Linked DNA regions of Lepisosteus oculatus. The protein of the gene in region 1 interacts with the protein of each later gene in a pairwise test. Links are inferred from orthologs where the notes say so. Each region holds a gene or a part of one and is shown in the gene's direction. Other genes may lie near its edges. The genes, in order: nup58, abi3a and homeobox protein PKNOX1.

What was found.
Region 2: the proteins of nup58 (region 1) and abi3a interact in binary tests that used the Homo sapiens proteins (3 or more experiments, as listed by UniProt). The two-hybrid records come from large-scale screens. The link is inferred for Lepisosteus oculatus from reciprocal best matches to the Homo sapiens genes NUP58 and ABI3.
Region 3: the proteins of nup58 (region 1) and homeobox protein PKNOX1 interact in binary tests that used the Homo sapiens proteins (3 or more experiments, as listed by UniProt). The link is inferred for Lepisosteus oculatus from reciprocal best matches to the Homo sapiens genes NUP58 and PKNOX1.

The regions. Positions count from the first base shown.
Region 1 is NC_090700.1:5,230,179-5,237,644, forward strand, and holds the start of nup58 (nucleoporin p58/p45), read left to right. Parts: upstream 1-4,334; 5' UTR 4,335-4,644; coding exon 4,645-4,727; intron 4,728-7,466. Other genes in the region: mtmr6 (myotubularin-related protein 6), read right to left, coding at 114-233, 3,456-3,479. UniProt on the Homo sapiens protein: Component of the nuclear pore complex, a complex required for the trafficking across the nuclear membrane.
Region 2 is NC_090723.1:7,574,766-7,582,220, reverse strand, and holds the start of abi3a (ABI family, member 3a), read left to right. Parts: upstream 1-4,160; 5' UTR 4,161-4,690; coding exon 4,691-4,819; intron 4,820-7,455. Other genes in the region: arhgap27l (rho GTPase-activating protein 27), read left to right, coding at 244-349, 865-1,042. UniProt on the Homo sapiens protein: May inhibit tumor metastasis. In vitro, reduces cell motility.
Region 3 is NC_090710.1:1,028,676-1,036,115, reverse strand, and holds the start of homeobox protein PKNOX1, read left to right. Parts: upstream 1-4,180; 5' UTR 4,181-4,275; intron 4,276-7,440. UniProt on the Homo sapiens protein: Activates transcription in the presence of PBX1A and HOXA1.

The DNA.
Region 1 (7,466 bases):
TTTAAAGGAAGAAGAGCACTTCCTGGTTCTGCAGTGCGAGTAGCTTTTCAAGGCCTTACCATAATTATAAGTGATTTGCAGAATTTGCAGAATACATCGGGACGGATTCTTACCCATATTTCCTGTGCGCTGGAGGAGCTGGCCTCCATGAAGAGCAGGTGAGTGGCAGTGAGGTAGAGAGTTCCTGTGGTGGACTTGTTGCTGAATCGGTCCAAAAGCTTCACATGCTCGACCTACAACAGAGCACCCAGCTGTGAGACACACTGATGCACTGGGGCACCAGGGACAGAGCTCCACGCTCACCAAAAGCACTCACAGAAGGTTCACCCAGCTGTTAGATACACTGATGCACTGGAGCACCGGGGACAGAGCTCTGAGCTCACCACAGCACTCACACAAGGCTCACCCAGCTGTGAGACACACTGATGCACTGGAGCACCGGGGACAGAGCTCTGAGCTCACCACAGCACTCACACAAGGCTCACCCAGCTGTGAGACACACTGATGCACTGGAGCACCGGGGACAGAGCTCTGAGCTCACCACAGCACTCACACAAGGCTCACCCAGCTGTGAGACACACTGATGCACTGGAGCACCGGGGACAGAGCTCGGAGCTCACCACAGCACTCACACGAGGCTCACCCAGCTGTGAGACACACACAGCACTGGGGACAGAGCTATGAGTTCACCACAATGGCTTCATAAAGCTCACACAGCTGCTGGTGCTCTGTGTTTCTGACCTTTCTTCTGACTATTAGTACTGTTGTGATCATCATCAAGTATCTTGATCATTTCAAGGATAAAAATAAAATAAGGGAAAAGATTTATAAGGGTTGAAATCTGAGAAAGACGTGTTTTAGGCAATCTCAGTGAATTTTAGGCAGTCCCAAAATCAAAAGAAGAAAAACTAACTGGAAAAAAGATCTAAGAATGACATAAAAGGTCTAAAAGTTGTGTCAAAGAATGATACTTCTCAAGAAAAGCAGTGCCTGAAATCTTCCACATGAGCCCATTGCAAAGGAAAGTCATTGTTTATTACGATGAACAGCTGCAACGATGCTGAATAAGATTAACTTCCATGCAAATTCAACTCTAATCCTACCTCAAATCACTAAACTTAACGTTGAAACAGAAGCTTTCTCAAATTCCAGCTTTACTTCCATTGTCAACAAAAACACTGCATGTCTTTAAATGGCAGCTTGCAAATTCTTCTGTGATCTTTGCACTATCATATCATATTATTGGGATAAAGGCCAGGGAAGCTTCATCTTCTTCAGTTGGACCAGCCACAAAATGGACACTGGTGCACATCTCCCCTCCTTCCACCATTTCCCCCAGGCAGGTGGCAGTAGAATTGCTCGGCATCTCGAATGAAAGAGCCGACGTGAGGGAGTTTCTGCATCCTCACACATTCCGCTAGGTAGCCTAGCAACAGGTCAGCACGCCGACAGCACACAGCAAGACAACAGGACAACAGGCCCTTCCAATGGGAGGGTGGCCTGAGCCCATCAGTCGAAGAGCTGCTTCTCATCAAATGAAAAGCAATGTAAACAAAAACCAAACAATCTGATTTATTCCTCCGGTTCTTCTATAAGAATGGGTACAAAATGACAGGAGGCTATTTGGCACATCAGACCTCTTTGGTAGTTAGAGGCTAATGGATTCCAGGACCTCATCCTGTCCTTGGTTAGGAGAACGTATCCCAGTTAACAATGTACAGTATGTTGTGGCAGAATAAAGTGTTAAAGATAAGTTTCATAGAGGTGCACACTGACTTGATTGATGTGCACGATAGCGGTGTTCTGTAAGAATACGCCTGGCCGAATTTTTACCAGCTGCTTTCACACACAGCTCAAGAACGCATCGCCACATTCCAGCCAGGATCTCCCTGCATTTCCATTCCCCAACTTCCAGCTGGAACACAACGGGGGGGAAAAATCAGAGCAATCGCTAACCGGGATATTGTCCTTCCTCCTGCCCTGCATCAGGAGGGCAGGGACGATTGCATTTCTAAAAGGAACAGACTGAAGAGCTCTAGAGATCTCTTCCTCCACAGCAGTACGTGCTCCTACTACAGTATATCAGCAGCCGGGAGCCCGCGGAAACTGCTGAACCCGAGCAGCAGGGCTTTTCGAGGTTCAGTCAAACTAGGTTTCATGGGAACATAAACGCAGCAGAGCCTGTGAGACCTGAAGTTCGCACAGTGCATGTTTTTTCATCCCAGGGCATTTCTTGAAAACTGTTGGGGTGTTACCTTGGCCAAACTCCTGGCCAAATTTCCCCCTGGACTTTCCTCGTCATCCCCATCTCTGAACTGGCCACCGAGAGCGCACAGGTGGGGAGGAGCTTTGAGTGGAGTGTCAAGAACAGTGCTACAGAAGTGTGAGGAATTATTAATATACACATGTCCTCCTCTTCTGTCTGACGCCACAGATCACACTCAAGACCTGACATCAGGTCACACAGATGTATTTGGGTATAAAAGCAATGTGTTTGATCACTCGGGGTCTATATATATTATGTTGTCTCCTCTCTGCCACGCTATAAATGACAATGATGTCAGCCAGCAGTGTGGAAGAGCAGTCAGGTCTGTGGACTTTAAAGCAGACGTCTGAGATAAAATCCGAGTGGGGCACTGCATCTTTGAATAAGGTACAGTATTTCACTCAGGTGGCTCCAGGAAAAAACACAGCTGTATAAATGGGTACAAATAATTGGATAAGAGTGTCAGCCAAATATACTAATCACACTGTGTATGGCCTTTTAAGCTTTGCCCTAATGACATTTTCTATATCAATTCACATAAAGCTGTGAGTCGAAACGTAGCTGTTTACTTAGCAATTACTCTAACAGGTGCGCTGTCACGCGAACTGTTACACCCATCGATGAAAGGCGTTGGTTCTCCTTCATTTACTGAGCACCTCATAGACTATCCACACGAGAAAACACAACCTGCCAAGTCCGGTTTGGTGCTCAGATCGGGAGAATTAGATCATCCCAGTGCAGAAACGGCACTAAACGAGGCATTAGCAGCGACATGACACAGGCTATCTGCCCTTCACTGTGCGGGTTATCGGAACGAAATTGACGCCTCCCTGCCTCAACCAGCATCCTGCTGCACGACAGGGCAGGGTGACTGTGCGCTCGGTCTCCCCTCCTTTCTCACCACCGTTTCGGGATATAAAACTGTGCCGCTGTGGGGAGACAAGTGTGGCAGCGGTGAAAATCCACTCCCAGACCAGTACATGTAAAAAATAAACACCCTGAACACTCCCTCATCCTTATCCTTGGACATGTTGCACTTTTAGCTAATCCTTGATCAGGCACTGCAACACTCTGAAGCGCATTTCGTCATTTTGACTAATGACGGTCTTCTCTACCTCGTTCTCCACGGCTCCCGCATAGGCTTTAGGTCTTAGTGCAGAATTCATCCCAATCCGAGTATTCATCTTACCTTTGGCGTTCTGATGTGCTCCATAGTTTAATTCAAACGAGCGACTGTGACCACACAGCGATCAAGATTCACAGCAGAAGAGTTTCGGTCTCCGCTGCTACACAGTCACCCGGCGCTCAATTCCTGTGCGTTGAAACAAGTACATATGCAACCCGATAATCTACACAACCCCCCTCTGCTCCAAATAAAAAAGCCGTGCTTCCTGCTTTGATGTGTGACCGAAGAAAGAGTGACGTCACACCCATGCGCTGGGTCTTTTCGGGCATGCCGGGAGTTGTAGTTTGTATTTGGAGCGAGTCTCAGTGGCCGAGAGGCCAATTGAAGAATCTGCCTTAATGACCAGGCCTCTATACTGACCATGTGTGCACTGTCAATTCATTTATAGGGTATATTTGTATGATACCTTATACTGCACGCTAACAGTTGCTTCCGTAAATAGCTAACGTCATATCCAAATCATGATGTGTGGAAGATAGAACTCTGCAGACGTAATTTGAATATTTTCACATTTTTCAGAATGCTGCTAATCCAGAAATTTAAATTGAGCTCTCAGCACCCGCAGAAAAAAGAAAATGTGAAATTCATTGAGGGCTTGTCTGATACAATCCCACCTGTGTCTGCCCATCCTCGATTGATCAACTAGTAAGACGCATCTCAGCAAATCCGCAAAATGAAGAAGAGCTGTTCTGTTTTTCAAGGCACTTGCGGTCGTTCTTATACGTTTTTCTTTTACATCGTAGATGGTAATTAACAGTTGTAGATTATTCTTGTTTGTCGTTGTGCTTTAGCAATACAGTATTGTAGTGAATCGGGCATGCAACTAAACCTTCATGAACTGATCTGGGAGAGGGGGCGTGCGCGCTCACGGGCACACAGTCCTCCACCGTCCCATCAGTCTTTGCCGCCGGAAGACGCTGCCGTGTAGGCGCGGAAACAAATAGAAACAGTTGCGTTTGATGTTGTATATTTTTTTTAAAAAAAGACATGGCACAGCTCGGGTTAATGTAATGTAAATGTTCTTCTGCAGTGCGGTGTTCGGCAATAGGGCGGCTCAGCGCGTTGGTTCGGTTTTGGCTCAAGTGCGAAGCTGTGCACGGTGCAGCTCTAAATGGTGGGCTTGCACGCTGTGGCCCTGATCTGCTGTGCTTCAGGCTAGCTCGCATCGGTAACATACAGTAGCAGATCGAAGATGTCGGGGTTTAATTTTGGCAGCGGCGGCGGCCTGGGATCTACTACCGCAGGGGGCGGATTTTCATTAGGAGCTGCGACCAGGTGAGAGAACTTCTTGAAATGCGTGATGAATGAGTGGTGTCGGTCGTAAGTGATTTCAGTTTCCCTGACTGAAGAACAGCGATGGGACAAGTGATATTAAATAGGCCACGTTTCTTACGCAATACCATTAAAAGTAATTCGTAGTTCGTTCTGATAGAGGAACTAACAACGTACGGATTGTTGCTAATGTCCTGCCCCTTTTGGATTAGCGGAAAGTTTCAGAAATGTAACTTGCCAGCAGGAGAGAATTTGCTGGCCTGAGGTTTATACAATATTCGTGTTTCACCGGAATAGGCGTTAGAAAACTACGAACAGTGGGAAGGCAGAGCTAACCTGTTCAGTGCGAATGCTAAGGTGTCGCGGGGAACTAAGCTGAGGTTCAGGAGCCTTGAGCGCCGAACACGTGGTTCGGTATTTTCCGCGGCACAGATCAGATCAGGTCTGGTCTGGAATATTCAATCCTCCGGGGTCCGTCCGAGATGTTCGGTTTTCTGTGGAAGATACTGAAGGGCGCGGGTGCTGGGAGCTGGTCGACATTAGGTTTAGTGTGTGCTGTTCACGTGTGTGTGTTTTCCTGCGTAGCTGCTAATCAGAGCAAAAGTGAAAGTGCGTCTCCTTGATCCATCAAGTCAGTGCCATCCCCATGTGAAAAGTCAGTGTGTCTGGAGGAAAAGCGTAATTAAAGTTCCAGCTAGGTTGATGTGGAAGTCGCGATGCACTTTGCTACTGCGAAGCTGAGTATATAACCCCGTATATTGCATAATTTCCTACCAGGCACCCTAAAGAAGAAAACCCTTATAATTAGTTGGAGTCTGTGTCCGTGCAGATGTGCTCACATGCGGACAGAAGGGTGTGGTGTACACTGTCAGGTGTTAGAAATATATGAGCCCGACCCCTGACAAAACCTAGAGTGAATGGCTTGAGGTGCTGTTGACGTAGTGGTACTAACATTTACCTTCACACAACCCTGCATTAATCGCTACGTGAGGTACTGATATTCTGCTCCTGAACTGTGGCTCTAGGACGTGTGAGGAGCGTGTAGCGATTCTGTTTGTGTCTGAAAGTGAAGGGTGGTTGAGGAAGGGTCAGCCAGCAGTCTTTTTGAGTCTTCTGCTGTTGTGAGATTCCCTAGTAGGTAAGGCGCTGTTGCTCTGTGCCGAAGATTACTGGTGCTGAACTGCTCTCGCCTTTTTTGTTTTGCTGGTGTTGTGAAAGTGCGTCGTCCTTTTTCTTCTTTGTTCTCTATTATTGAGTAACAGGGCGTGTTGAGTGAAATAAATCTGTCAGGTTTCCCGGTGCCCTAGTTCGTTTCCCTTGAGGCAGGTTGCTGGCCTCAAGAAAAGACATGCCTTGGAACACGAGACCTCTAGAAGTTGAATTTGTATAGTTGGTACTTCCCATGACTACTTTTGAAAGCTTTTGAGAGCCCAAATGCACAGGAAGTGAGACGTGACTTCTTTAAAAATTTAGGCTTAGTACTAAGCCAGCAGCCATATCACCCTGCAACTCACAACTGGCAACCCACTGAAGCTAAGCAGGTGTGAGCCTGGTCAGTACCTGGATGGGAGACCTCCTGGGAAAAACTAAGGTTGCTGCTGGAAGAGGTGTTAGTGGGGCCAGCAGGGGGCGCTCACCCCGTGGTCCATGTGGGTCCTAATGCCCCAGTATAGTGATGGGGACACTATACTGTAAACAGGCGCCGTCCTTCGGATGAGACGTAAAACCGAGGTCCTGACTCTCTGTGGTCATTAAAAATCCCAGGGCTCTTCTCGAAAAGAGTAGGGGTGTACCCTGGTGTCCTGGCCAAATTTCCAATTGGCCCTTACTAATCATGGCCTCCTAATAATCCCCCTCTATGAATTGGCTACATTACTCTGCTCTCCTCCCCACTGATAGCTGATGTGTGGTGAGCGTTCTGGCGCACTATGGCTGCCGTCGCATCATCCAGGTGGATGCTGCACATTGGTGGTGGTGGAGGGGAGTCCCCATTACCTGTAAAGCGCTTTGAGTGGAGTGTCCAGAAAAGCGCTATATAAGTGTAAGCAATTATTAATTATTATTATTATTAAATTGCTCTAGAGAGAATAAGTGAAAGGTGCCTTTAAGTCTGGTAATTAACTTTTTTTAGTTTCTCATATAATACTTCATAAAGAACAGAGATTTGACAAAATTAAGTAGTCTGATGAGTTTTCTCACCTAGATTTCTGCAAGCTGCTACTTTCTTAATTTCCCTGTGACTGTTCTGTCATTTCTGTGTGGCACTGATTTTATTTTAAAACGTTTAACTTTCCTAGTGTTTTTAAATACCTAATTATGAAAGAATGTTTAAGAATAGCGGATAAATGAAGTCCCGAAATGTTTGATATGTTATTTTGGTCAATAATTATAGAATACAGAGACCCTAATATAGTTCTGAAATTTTGCATTTGAGTGTTTGTCACGCATAGCATTGACATAAGAGGAAAAAATTAAGAAATACAGGTTTTTACATAGATTGCTTAACAGAATGATCTTATTAATAAAGTATTTTAATTAATTTGCTCAGGTGTTCTAATGTACATGATACTGGGGTTGGGTTATCTTTGTCGGAGATGGCATTTCCCCCACTTTAAGGTCCTTCTTGTATCTCAGTCATTGGATAGAGAGACTAATTTATAGTACATCCCTTTCTAGTTCAAACTTCTGAATTTTTAGTATAGACTTAACAAGTGTTGTCTAGTGAATACATCCTCATTGTGA
Region 2 (7,455 bases), on another chromosome or scaffold:
TCCCTACAGCGGTACTGTAGTTGAACTGTCAACCCCAGCCTTCATTGCATGAACACGTTTCTTATGTATTCCCTGAGTCAAATGATTTCATTAGCTCCTCTGTATCTTTACAGATTTCAGTAGTTAATTGGCACTGCTTTGGTTTGATCTCTGGCACAGTGCAGAGGTCCCGACTCCTTTGAAATACTATTGCACCTTTGTGTGCCCACTCTGTCATACACTGGTGCTCTTTGTCCTGCGCAGATATTGGCGATAACAGCCAGAAGGTGACTTACATGAGGGACCTGGTGAGGTCTCTCCCGCAGCCCAATCAAGACACCATGCAGGAGCTCTTCCGCCACCTGCGCAGGTGAGTCCCTGTGGGACCTCAGCTTCTGTTCTCTGGATCTCTGGCTCCTGATGGTGGAGTCTTGGTCCCCCCCCTGCCTTGTTTTAAACCTTATGCAGCACAGCTTCCACGGGGGTGGGTACAAGGGCAGGAGGGCTAATCAACCAGGCGGAGGTCGCCTGAGCTGAGCCCTATCCTTCTTAAGAGCAACGGATCAGAAACATCTACTAAAAGGTTCCCATTTTGCATTGCATCCTATTGCCATGCTGTTTGATAACCAGACCCTGGCAACATAAACAGCTAGGTAATAAAGTAGTTCAGGTGGGTAACTGCGTCAGCATGCGTAGGCTGCAAAGGAACAAGTAACAGGTTTATTTCATGCTGAAAAGAGAAGAAAGAAAACGCAACGTTTCGGCTGTGGAGCCTTGTTCTTCTCTTTCTTCTTCTTTTCAGCAGGGAATAAACCTATTACTTGTTCCTAGGTAATAAAGTCGTTCAGTTTATTTTAAACTTTTTGTTTCGCTTGCCCTCCCCAGGGTGATAGAAAGAAGAGAGGACAACCGGATGTCTGTGCAGAGCATAGCGATAGTCTTCGGCCCCACGCTCCTCAGACCGGAGACCGAGTCGGCCAACATCACCATGTACATGGTCTTCCAGAACCAGATTGTGGAGTACATCCTCAACGAGTACGACAGGATCTTCTACCCCAGCTGAGAGTCTCCTGCACAGGCTGCTGGAAGCCACAAATTCTCTTAGGATGCTGTAGGCGCAGGTACGCCAGACTTCCTGGGGGTTTCTCTCACGTTTCCTGCATCTCCTTTCCCTCCATGCCATGACGGAGACGATCATCACGGGGCAGGATTAGCAGAGGATTCAAACAAGGAGCTTTGAAGTCTAAAACTGAACTGGGGGCTGTCCCTAGAGACAGACATCACTGGGACAAGTCATCAGCCAATGTTGTGGACACCTCCATTCTAAGATCCAAAACTCCATTTTCTTTAAGTTCCAGGCACGATGGAATGAGAGGCTGTTGGATGTGGATGACTTTGTTTTTGTTTTTTTTGGCATGTGCTTATATGTGGCCAAAGAACTGTTGCACAAAAAATTACATCTGAAAATTTGCAAGTTGCAGTTTTGTAGTCATGAGATGGGTTCTTTTTAATGCCACTTGTTGCTGCACAGTGAAAATTCTGTTTTTGATCAACATAGAATAGAAAATTCTGTTCGTCCATGATGCCCTTGAACAAGCTGAAACCCATGGCCCCTGTCCATCGTTTTCATGTCTTTCAGCATATGTCACCTCTCATTGACAATCTGTGTGTGCCTTCTGAAGCTTTTCCCCCCAAAGAATCATCCCTGAGCTTGATCAGTTCTGGGCTGCATTGACCCACAAGGCATTGTGATGAGCAATACAGGCTTCCTGAACAGTATGGCCCTAGTTGTGTGCAAGAATTGCTCAGAACCTATAGGCACAGCCCATGCTATGTGATGATGACGCCTTTAAAAGGTTCCTGTGTTATAAAGCCCAGCTGCTCTGTTCCGATAAGAGAATTGCAAACAAAAAAAGCTACTGTCATTGTCTTGAGACAAATGTTTCTATTACGAATTGTACAAAAATATAAAGGCGAATAAGATTATATAGTTACTTTTGTATTTGGCAGATGCAATATTTTTTAGATTTGTATAACTTTGTCCCTGTAAAATATTGGTCAGTACTTTGAAATACATCTATATTAAGAAAGGTAGGGTAGCTGTACAGTATATTTCAGTTAGCATTAAATTTATGGAATTATGAAAGTGTCTTGATTTCACCCGTGTATAAAGAAGAGTGGATTTACCCCCAGATTGACTTGGAATATACATTTTTTTTCTTTTAATTAAATAATTTAATTTGGACAAACTCCTTCTTTGACATTCTTTGAGTTACTTATGACTGGGTGTTTCTCAAACTTTGTTTACTGTAATGAAAAGTTTAAAGAGCTGTATTCCTATTCTGAGAATGCAAGACAAGGGATAAATCCATCTGTAATACAGAGAGCTTGTGGCCAGCACTCAAGACTGATCTTACAGAGAATCAGGTTGTAAAAATATTTTCTCCCCAGAGGTGTAATATGACCACTTACTGTAGCTGCAACATGATACATTACAGGATGTCATCCCTGTATAGTATGTGATGTCTTAAACACTTGTTTAATATGATAGTTAAAGCAGAGCAGACAGCAGGGATACACTGTACATAACAGTGATACAGCGCACAATGGTTTAAGTGAAGCTGCATTTAGCAGGTAATGGCCAATAACCACCACTGCAATACGCTTAGAATTCTACGTCTCAAATGTACTGGAAAATGGTAAAGCAGTACTCAAGGCAACCACCAGATGGCACCAGAGTATTTACAACATAGCAGAGGCTGTTCAAACCACTTGGCTCCATTTGGTCCTAGCAGCTGACAATGAAGACCTTCCTTTAAACCCCAGAATGTATCTGGTGGCTCTTTTCTGGCCTGATTCCCAAACAACATCCTTTTTCTTAACAAACTTGTGCACAATATTCTAAATGAGGCCTTATCATACATTGTACATTATGATATAAATAAGGCCTCAAAACTTGGCCTTATTAATGTACCATATTATCCATCAGTATAAATTCTACACAGTTCTACCTTTTGCTTCCCCACATTGTCGAGGATATGTAAATGATGTCTTCACACAAAAACCTTTTGTGAAAAGTCTTTTTCAAACCTACCCCAGTTTCATACTTTAGATTTCTAATGTTTTTGCTTCCTGCAAGTAAAACCCTACATTTGCCAACAGGAAATTGAAAAGTACAGTGTTTTACTTTCCGGGTGTTTGCTCAGTCTTGAATTTTATCTACTGTAAATCTTATTGAATTTCTTTTGCTGCTTCTACAGTACAGTATTTGCTAATCTTCCTAATTTGGTATCTGCTGCAAATTATCACAAAGGCTAGTTTATACCAAATGCTGTATACCAGACTATACCACAATCTGAATCGTTTATATAAGTTAAGCAGCTCCTTATCCAGATCTCGCCAGTACTCCATGAATTACCCCCACTTGGAGTATTCACCCCTGTCAATACAAAAATCAACAACAGTTCCAAACAAGATGTATTGATTAGAACCCTAGCCCCAAATCTCTCTTCAACCTTAAAACCTGATACTTACCATGAACCTACCCTTACACAAACGCTGGCCATACCCTGAGACTAACTCTCACCCCGCTCCAAACATTAGTGCTAACTGTCCTACACTAGGTCACTCGGATGTCCAGTGGTATGGCAATGTGATTTGAAGTTTTAAATAGCTTTGTGGAGAGGACTTGCCTCATTTCTACATATTATAGACAAACTATCCGTATGATTAAATATTATCATGACAAAGACCATACATCAGGAGACAACTGTTGAATCAAATCCTATTACTTAAATGCTGCTGACTGGACAGCTGTTTTGCACAGCATAAGCAGCATGAAAAAAGCTCCTGATACTCTGACCCCTAGTGAAACTAGTTTAAGTTATACGCAATATCAGTCATTGACAACAGACTATATACTAACAGTATAAAAGCAACCCAGCTTCCATGGGGAATTCAGTCTGATGCATCATAGGTTTCTTCTCATCTTACAAAGCTGTTTTCTGGCCATTTGCAAAAAACTCTTCCCTTTTGAAAGCTTTTTGTTTATCTTTCAGCATTACCCTTTTTCAGGTTTGTGGGATTTCATTTGCCACTCAGCAGGAAGTTAGCAGAGTTTATTTCAAAAACAGCGCTTACTTCCTAAAAATAAACTGGCGAGAAGCCATCTCTTGTGCACCCATTAGCCTCCCAGGATTTACAGTGAGAAGCAGTTCAGGTCTGAGCTTCCAAACGAACACTACGGTCAAACAGCGGAGAGAAAAGCCGTTTGGAATTTCTGGCACTCAAGCAAGTCCAGGGGGTAGCATGAAAATGTTAAAACATTGAAGATTGAACACAGAAGATTCAAACAGCGACAAAAAGCAGTGGTCCACTAGTGTTTTTTAATTTATGCGTACATCTAAGAGAGATGTGAAACCTCAAGCGACAAGACTCTAAGTCAGTTTGCCTTTGAGAAAAAAAAGAGCTTGCCGTCTTGAGGCGGAGACAAAAAAAAAAAGCCCCTTTCGGTTTAAAAGGCTTTTTTTTCGCTCTGAATAAGAAGCGGTTAACTGCTTCTCTTTTCTTCACTCAGAGGAGGGATAAAGACAGGCTCAGGGCACTGCGCTGCTCTGCTCCTCGACTTGCTGGGGTTTATTTTTCCCTTCTTGCTTCTGCTTGATACTCCAAACCCGAACGCGGAGCAGGGCACAGCCGCCAAAGGGCAACGATGAAAGATCAGAATGGAGAGGAGATCCAGACAATCTTACAGGAGGCCCCCAGTGCCAGGCAGGCACTGCTGGACAACTACGCCAACCTGCACAAGGTGGCCGACTACTGCGAGAGCAACTACTTACAGGTAGGTGCAACCCACCGGCTTCGCCAGCAGGTACCCGCTGCCCCTCCGAAAACACCTTCCTCCTCCTCGTCTTCCTCTGCACGGAGGCCTGGACAGGAGACAGCTGACGGTTAAACTCAATCTGTTTTTTTCTGCACACTGGAATCTTGTGAGGTTAAGAGGCTAGTGCAAGGCCATGACTTTACAGTTTATGAAACCAGCAAGCCCATTTTAACAACGAATCAAAACCTTAAAAAAAATAACTTTAGGAGCTCTTCATGTATACTACTGTCCAATTCATTACTCGGGTTTGTCCTTATTCTGCGGTATCTTGTAGTATTATGCAGCTTATTACTTGTGATACTGTATTATAGAACTATACTGATGGGCATTAAAGACATAAAATGAGAACCAATAGCATATATGTATCAAATGGTTCATATTGTTTCCTTAAATGCATACATTAGGACACTTTAGAGTTCCAATTCAGATGTTACAAAATAAGCAAGAACGAGGAGTACCACTTACACTGTACTGTTAATAACCTAGAACACAACAGAATACTCTCCTACAAAAATGTTGCATTGCTTGACAAGTGTCAGCGCTTTTTTATGCCACCAACCATAACCAGTTTCTGTTACCACAGCGTCTTTTTTGAGACCAGGTTGACTCAAAGGTATATTTATAAGGCATCCTGAAGATGCTAGTGTGAATCAACTAAAGACTAAAAAAAACATCAGACAGCTGGTCATACAGTTGCCCATAACCACCCCTTCTGTCCACATCAGCAGTATATACAGACACAAATTAATTTGTATCTGACATGTTACACCCTCACACAGTACGCTGGTTAGCATTGCTTCTTCACAGTGCTCAGACCTGGGGTTCAATTCCTGGGGTGCTATGTGCATAGAGTATGTATGTTCTCCCTGTGTTTGCAAAGGTTTGCTGCAGGTGCTCCGGTTTCCTCTCACAGCCCAAAGACATGCTGGTAGGTTAATCAGGTTCTGCGAAAACTGGCCCTGGAGTGAGTGTGTGTCTGTGTTTTCCCTGTGATGGACTAGTGTCCCGTCCAGGGTGTATCCTACCTTGCGCCTATTGCTTGCTGGGATAGACTCCCCCGTGACCCTGAATTGGATTGGGCAGTTAGAAAATGGATGGATATTACCCCCTAAAACTGACAAGAAACACAGCAAGTAAGTGCAGCGCAATCTCTGCACTTCAAATACTCCGGAACTGGGCAGACAATAAACATGACCACTTGCCATTTAAAAGGACAAATTCACTGCTTTGTGCAGTTCTCTCACTTTCATGGCTGTGGTTGAGCGACCCCTTGGTTTTACATAACTGTTGAGACAATTTTCGCTCTCCCATGCGGGCGCACAATTCTTAGAGCAGTTTCCTGGTTGTGAGAGGGATGCACAAAGACTCGGGGTGTGTATAAACCTCTGAGCTCTCCTTGTCTGGTGCCCAGCGTGTTGCAGTGCAGTGAAAGAAGGATGACAACAACAGGAAACTGGGCCAGAAAAGTGCCCTAAAAGCAGACGTTGGTTTTCTTCCTGCCTTGCTCAGTCCTGACTGTAGGTATTCTGCTGCCCTGAGAGATGAGCTATTCTTTCGAAGAGTTCTGTAGCTCTTGAAGACTGAAAGCTCTCTGAATTTGCAGTGAAATGAGGAAATGTGAGCTCAGTCGGGCCCTGAGGTGTGACAGGAGATGAGGGCAGGAAAGAACACAGACAGTATGAGAGATAATACAGAAAAAGTGAAAGGGTCCTGACAGGGGACAAACACAGAGCACTCCGAAATGAGAGACAGAAACAAACCAGACCACAGGCAAGAGCAGCACAAAGTGAGAGTAATACAATCCCACAGAGGAACAGGACAGCTCTACAGACAGACAGGACTGGGTTACACAGTGAAATGCAGAAGGACGTCTGAGCCAGAAGATTCCAAAATAGAAAAGAAATATATCGAGCTGCAAGTGCAACTGAAAAACAAAAAACTAGAATCACAAGGAGAGATTCATACCTGCAGTGAAGGTTAAAAATAACATTACATGCTTTCATAATATCCAAGCACACAAACTGTAACAGGTGAAGTAAATAATCTGCAAGATAAGACTGGATTCATAATAAGACTAGATGGAAAAAAAGTAAATGCTAAATTAATATTTCATGCAGGTACCCCTATGCTGTAGAAAAAGAAGGTGCTTTAGCATAACTAGTTACTAGTAATTGTGACTTATGCTAATGACCAAGGTTACACTATTTTCAAACTTAAAGAAGTATTTAACATTATTAATAGACCTTTAACCCACTGAAGCTCAGCAGGGTTGAGCCCGGTCAGTACCTGGATGGGAGACTCCTGGGAAGCTATGGTTGCTGCTGGAAGAGGTTAGTGGGACCAGCAGGGGGCGCTCACCCTGCGGTCTGTGTGGGTCCTAATGCCCCAGTATAGTGGTGGGGACACTATACTGTAGTGGGCGCCGTCTTTCAGATAAGACTTTAAACCGAGGTCCTGACTCTCAGTGGTCATTAAAGATCCCCGGACATTTCTCGAGAAGAGTAGGGAGTTATCCCGGTGTCCGGGCCAAATTCCCCCCCTCAGCCTTTACTGTGGCCTCCAAATTGTCCCCCTGTAGGATGGGCTTGGACTGG
Region 3 (7,440 bases), on another chromosome or scaffold:
TTCATGCCTAGTGAACTCCCCAGAGGGTTCCCATTGTTAAAATCAAAATGGTATGTTACATTCATAATGATCTACATTGCATTTGTAACTCAGCACTTGTAGCTAGCTTGCCCATGGTGCCTGAGGTGCTACTACTGTACATCTAAGGGGGAAGACAGGAATTCTAAATGTATTTTATTTTAGTGCTGTTAAAAGGTTTAAGTGTCTTTGGTAAGTTGAAAAAGTTAAAGGACTATTTTAAAACCCTAACCTTCTGTCACATTTACCACTTGTTCAATAAGGAAAAACAGTTTAAACATTGACTATTAACTAGGAATACTAAAAAAGTTCACATAGACATTAACGTTTTCTGAATATAGCCTACAATATCTCAAAATGTAAGCTGAACAAGCAAGTGGATTGTAAACACAAATCACATTCAAAAAAGGTATAATTTTATTCAATTTCCTGGAAGTTTAAATCCAAATGCAAGGTATGTTACATTTATTGTTATTGTGGAAGACCCATTGATGATTAGTGATGCCAGCCATAAGGGAACAATATCTGCATTTGTGTGCAAGTCCATATAGTGTGTAGCAGTATTCCATTGTGTTGTAATGGTAACAGATCAGAGTTCTACACTACCTTAATGTTCAGGTTCCTTTTTCTAAGGTAATATAAGCGGTGACAAATGTTTGTCATGCACTGTAACTGCATATAGATCAAATGTCAACTGAGCACCCTTTTCTATATCATATCGCACATGTGTAATTCAAGTATTTTCAAGATTCAATATTTTTTATAACAACAAGAGTATTGGAATGCTTACTCTTTCAGCTGTACCCAGTAATATTAAAAAAAAAATAGGCACAAATGACAAACAGACATGGACAATAAATTTAGAGAATATATGTTATAATACAGGCAAGACAGGACATAGTGCAAACAGTGTAGTACCTTAAAGTGCAGGTGCTAATTTGAGCTGTTTATGATTGGGTGGAATAAACTGTTGGTCAATTGGTCTGTGTTCTAATACTGCAATACCTCTTACCAGAACCCAGGGGTGAAAACAGATCATGGCCAGGGTCAACTGGGTCCCAATGTATAGCTCAAGTATAGCTATAGTTGTGGCAGCGGTCGAGATGTATCTGGTCGATGGAGGGTAGCTCGGTCCCAATGTTTTACTGCGAGGACCTCACAAGCCTTTGTATGGCTTTTCTGTCCTGTACTGTGGCTCCACCATACCACACTGGAAGGCCACTCTCAGTGGTATTACAGTAAAAATTGGTGAGTGTTGTCTTGCTCATCCCCCACTTCCTTAACTGTCTCAGGAAGTGAAGGCGCTGGTGGGCTTTAGTGAGGATGGCAGCAGTGTTCTTTGACCAGCTCAGCCTCTCAGTGATCTGGAGGCCATGGAACCTGAAGGGGCTGACAGTTTTAACTGGAGCCCTGTGAATGAGGATCGGTGTGTGAAGTCCTCCATATCTCCTGAAGTCCACAATAATCCCTTTTGTTTTGCCGATGATAAGTGTGGGGTTGTTGTGGCACCACTCCACCAGCTCTTCTACCTTGCTCCTGTAGGTGGTTTCATCATTGTTGCTGATAAGACAGATTACTGTGGGGTCATCAGCAAACTTTATGATGCGGCTGCTGTTAAATCTAGCCACACAGTCATGTGTTATAGAGAATACAGCCATGGGCTCAGGCAGCAGCCCTGGGGGCCCCTGTGTTGAGGATCAGAGGGGATGATATTTTGTTTCCAATCCTCACCACTTGGGGTCTGCCTGTCAGGAAGTCCAGGACCCAGTTGCAGATGGCGTTGTTGAGGCCCAGACCCCTGAGTTTGACCACCAGCCTGCCTGGCACAATTGTGTTGAAGGCTGAGCTGAAGTCAATAAATAACATCCTGGCATAGGTTTTCCTCTAGTCCAGGTGCTCAAGAGTGGTGTGAAGAGCCAGTGAGACAGCATCGTGTACTGACCTATTATTCCTATAAGCAAACTCCAGGGATCCAGGGAGTCCGGGACAATACTGTCGATGTGTCCCCTCACCAGTTTCTCCATGCACTTCATGACTACTGAGGTGACTTCCACCAGGCGGTAGTCATTCAGACATGACAACTTGGTTGCTTTAGGCTGTGGCACGACAGTAGTTCTTTTGAAGCACAGTGGGACAGTAGACAGGGATAGTAACGTGATAAATATTACAGTAAAGACAGGGGCCAGCTGTTCTCTGCATGCCTTTAAAACACAGGGGGATGGGATGCCATCAGGGCTGGCAGCCTTGCGTGGGTTCACCTTTCCGAAAGCTTTCTGTACCTCCTGTTCAGACAGCTGCAGCACAAATTCCCCAGGCTCAATGGGCGTTTTGTGTGAAGCGTCAAACCTCGCATTGAAGTTGTTTAGTTGGTCAGGCAGTGAATCATCAGCTGTTGTTATAACCTATTTGTCCTTTGTAATTAGTGATAGCCTTCAGGCCATTCCAGAGGTGCATTGTGTTAATGCCCCCACATTGTGATTCAAGCCTGTCTCTGTAGTCCCCTTTCGCATGTCTGATGGCCCTCTCCAAGTCATACCTGGCTTTCCTGTACAGCCCAAGATCTCCAGAGTTAAAGACCACAAATATATGAATGTATAAAGGAGCTTTTAAATGAACCGTTTCACTATCTGACCAGCTCTGGTAGCTTACTGATCCCAGTAAATCTGCTTCAATAACAAAGAAGGACAGTGTGGTTCCAGGCATCCAGAACCCCTAATTTTCAATCTTAAATCTGCATTTTCTTAGTCCTTATTGCTTTCACTGTTAATTGGCTTTAGGATTCAGTTAGATACTAACAGAAGTATGAAAATAAATCACACAAAAATAACTGAATATTAAATCTTCTAATATATAAAAATTGATTGGTTAGCATCTAAACTATTTCAGTCCTGAAGCAAACAATTTGAAATATAATTCCATTTAGAAAAACTGTTCCATTTGAATTTTTATGACTATAAAAACATATTCATACCTTAATTACAACATGGTGATTTTTAAAAACCTTTTGTCTGTAGACAAATTATTTTGAATAATTCTCATGCCTACTACTGTATAATGCGCTTGAATCATTTGGCTATGATTTTTAGCGAGTTTCACACTCTTAATTCAATAATGAAATGTTGCTCAACCTAGAGACATCTAAACAATCACATAAACATCACATTATAGTGTTAATTGTAATCCTCCAGAGCAACGGATAAGCTACGAACTGCTCATGCTGTTTCTGTTGATGAACGTGAAACTGCTTATGAGGTGAGTATATAAACAAGGGATCCGGTTTTTGGATCTTTGGAAGTCAGTGTAAGCATTAACATTTTGTGTTTCTACAAAACGAATCAGAGAGTTTGTTGCAGATAACAGGTAGCTGGTCCGAAGAATATATAAAGAATAACACCAATTCCAGCTGCTCACAACAGTTATTGTCATTGTCGTTATTTGAGCGAAGCTTTTGTCTAGGCTTAGGGTAACAATACGGTCAGGTCACTTCGTGGCATAGTTACACATCAGTCAGAACGTCGTCCAAGTACAGTAGGACTGTAGTGGAAACTGTTGGTGTCTAGTCTAGTCACAAACCTTTTTTTCCCATTTTGTTCTTATAACAGTATATAAAAACAACGCATTCTACAACAGAAAAACATAACCTGGGGTCTACGGATTAGAAAATGTGTTAATATATAATTAATTCACTGCACATAGAAGCTAGAAATCTATATTAAAAACACGTTTCAAAGACTAAATTTTAAACTGCATATTACTGAATTGTTTGTAACATTTTCAAAGAGCTGATATACTGATATACTGTCAGTAACTGCTTTATTTTAAAGAAGGCCGCGATGAGCCAGAGCCTGACACGGTAGACATCTGGTGCGAGTCAGCTGCAGGACACATCTAAGTCTTCACTCACGTTAACACCAACTAAAACTAGCACGTTTTGGGTTTTTGGACTATGTGAAACTAAAATGTAAACACAGGAATGTCGTTTAAAATCTGCAAACAAAATGCAGATAGGATTATTCTCAAATTAACCAGTAAATCTCTGAGCCACGTACTGCAGTGCTAGCTTGTTCCTGCAGTACAGAGAAGACTCGTGTCATCGCATCCGCTCCCGGGTCGTGCGCGTGCGCGTGCACGCCATACGTCATCCCTCCTCCCACCTTATCCCGTGAGCTGCGTGCCCGCGGCGCGATGACGCCACGCGGCGGCTGCGGGTCCCGATTGCTGCAGCCGCTTGTCAGTGTGACGAAGATTGGCACCCAGGTAAGCTGTCACTCAAAATCCTCTTTTTCCGCTCACTATCAATCAAATATCGCGCAGAAAAGCGCCGTCGGCCCTATCGCAAGTACCAGGGCATAGTAGGGAGGTGGCTCGGAGTGGGTCAGCGTGAGGGTACAAAACGCCCTACGTTTTTGAACAAGGGGAGAAAAATATGTCCGGTTTGAGCGTCTTTTTCAAGGGAAATTTCTGGAAAAGCGAGGGAGCTGCTGGCAAGGCCTCGTTGCTGTTGCTCGGCGCAGCGAGGAGGGCAGGGCTAGGCAGCTGCCCGGCTTGATTGATGGAGGCACAGGGGGCAGGTTTCTCCTCAACGTTAAAGGGACAGGGGCGAATTTTCTCCGTGTCGGTCGTGTTTATGTGCCGGATGCGGCCTGGCCGGGTTTGTCTGGGCAGAGCGGTCGAGGCCCGGGGCTGGTTGTGGCGGACGTTGCGGCGCGAAACATGGCGCTGAGAAAACCCCTCCGTAACACACCGAGACGTGAATCAACAAGACGCCCTTCCAGTGTCCAGCGTTATGACTTGCAGCGTATGAAAGGCATAAAAAATGAACCATGAACCCATAGTTCTCTGAAAAGTCTAAATAGGCACCGAGCATCTACGAAGTTTCTTTAGAGGAGCTTATGAATTAACTTTTCACCAGAATTTAGCAGGGCGCCCCTTAAAATGGGGGTAGGTTTACAGGAAGCAGCTGATGGGACATATTGGACAGTAAAAAAAAAAACTGTTAGCAGCACACAGTAAATTCGTAAATGAAACACCTGAATGAAACGCACAGCCTTACAAAATGCAGGCATAGAGATAAACAATTTGCATGTTTTATACGTTGTTGCTTTTTTACATCCTCGTTTGTTGACACTGTTAAAAGGCACACTAATAGATTGCTTGATTGAAATCCAAATACGAGGAACAATACAAAGTTTCTTCATAATATCAGGGTGCGTTATCAGTTTTTGCTTTTTATGATGTAACTTAATGGATGTATTTTTCTATACCGCCTTGTACGCTTCGTGCTCCTGCTGAAGCATTTCCCTTTAAGGGCCAGTCTCCCGCTTTCCTCATAAGGACTGAGGTTTGTGATCGAGTTTCAGTCTGGCTTCGTTATCGAGGACTGACGTAGTTAAGCTGTGAGGCATTAAGATCGGGGATCTAGTTACACTCCGTAACACTGATTTTGTTTTCTTTATTTTTTCAAGGAGCATACATTTTAGATAGAAAAGCTTAATGCTTATAACTGCACGTCCTGTTCAAATTAAATATTCTGACTTTCGTCATTACAATTTCCCTATTTAAATTTCAAAATAGATTGAAAAGGCGCCACTCTTGTTACTCTCTCAAATGACCAACTATGGAAAATTCCAGATCTCAACATTAGAACATCTGTTGCAGTTTGTACAAGATTTATGGATGATATGTCTGCTATACATATAGAGACAGATCACTTTATTGGCCAAGTTTTCACTTACAAGGAATTTGACTTGGTGAGTTGCTCATACACTATACACATACAGACATACCATATATACATTTCAGAAATTAAAGAAAAATATATATTGCACCTCAAGAATGTGTCAGAACTCTACTTTTGTGTGATAACCCCATTCGTATGTACATATTTGTAAATGATAAATTAACTGTCCATACTATACATATCCATATACAGACAATATTATTAATGCACATAATGCCGTGGTTGAAAACTAAGTAATCAATATTCAATTTTAATAACACAATTTAAGTAACTTTCAGTGATTAATAGGGATGATTAATAAGAGTCACTGCCTGAGGAAAAAAGCTGGTACTTGTATCTGTGAGCAGTGTTGGAAATGTTGCCATTAGATCTCTGTGTCTGACTGGCCATCACATGGCAAATGTTGTGATCAGAAGGGAAAGTGAAAAGAATGAAGCTCACCTGCCTGAGGAAAAAAGCTGTTTTTGTGTCTTGTGGTCCTGGTGCTAACTGACCTAAATCTTTTCTCTGATGGGAGACATTGAAAAATATGATGGCCAGGGTGAGAGGAGTCAGCAATGATCCTGCCAGCATGCTTCTTAGTCCTGGAGATGTAAAGGTCCTGGAGGACAGGCAGGTCACAGCCTATGATTACAGCAAAAACAAACTTTTTGGTTGAGATACATTTAATCTGTGGATGGAAATATAAATTCAGACATGGATAAAACATTGACATTTTCTGAGAAAATGTTGTAGTCAAGTTTGAGGTACTAGTTTTAGTTGCAATGACACATTCTCCTCTGTTGAAAAGGAAGGTTGATGTGTGGTTATAATTGCCCTTGGTATCGCTGACTGCAGTCTTGAAAGTGGTCAACTTTCATGCCGAGAGTTTAGATGACAGTTGTCGACCGAACGGAAAAGTATTAAAGTTATGCATTTTATGTTACCCATGTGTGATTTTTTTAAAGTTCTGTATGGCTGTATCAAAGTGCTTAGTGATAACTTTGGCTCCAGAGCTACAATCAAGTATGTTGCTTCTGAAAAGAATTTTGGGATTTGGGATGTTGTTCTTCTTAGCATTTTTGGCGTTTCCAAGGCCACATCTGAATTGACTCTATGCCCACTGGTGAGGTGCTTGAATTAAATGCTCAGGGCAGATGCACATAATTGAAGTTCTTTAGAAATGGATCACAGAATACAGTATTTTACAGAAATACACAGGAAGGTATGTGGTAACTCATAACATGATCTCAACAAATTTCAGAAACACAGAACACTGTTATCCCTCCATTCATTTATTAAGTTATTGTCTGTCAAAACAGTTCTTAACTGGATGTTAAGCCACATGTGGCAATGGTGCTATATCAATCCAACCATCTTAAAGAGCCTCTGTATGTTCTTCAGGTGTCCTCTAGATAGACTTGAATTAGGACAGGTGTTGAACATAGGGTTCAGAGGTGACATTGATTAATAACCTTATACGCATTCTTGTGAACCGGAAAAGGATCTTAATTGATTACATAACATGACCTATTGAAAGTTCTATTGAAAATAAGATAAGGGTCCTTCAGGGCCAGGGTTGATAAGCACTACTGTAGGAGGTGCTGGCCTTTTGCCAAGTTTTAAAATTGATGTCCTGGGTACTTGGTCATTTAAGATCCTGTAAGAGTAAATGTAAGTTACTCTCATTTTAGTTGGAGAAT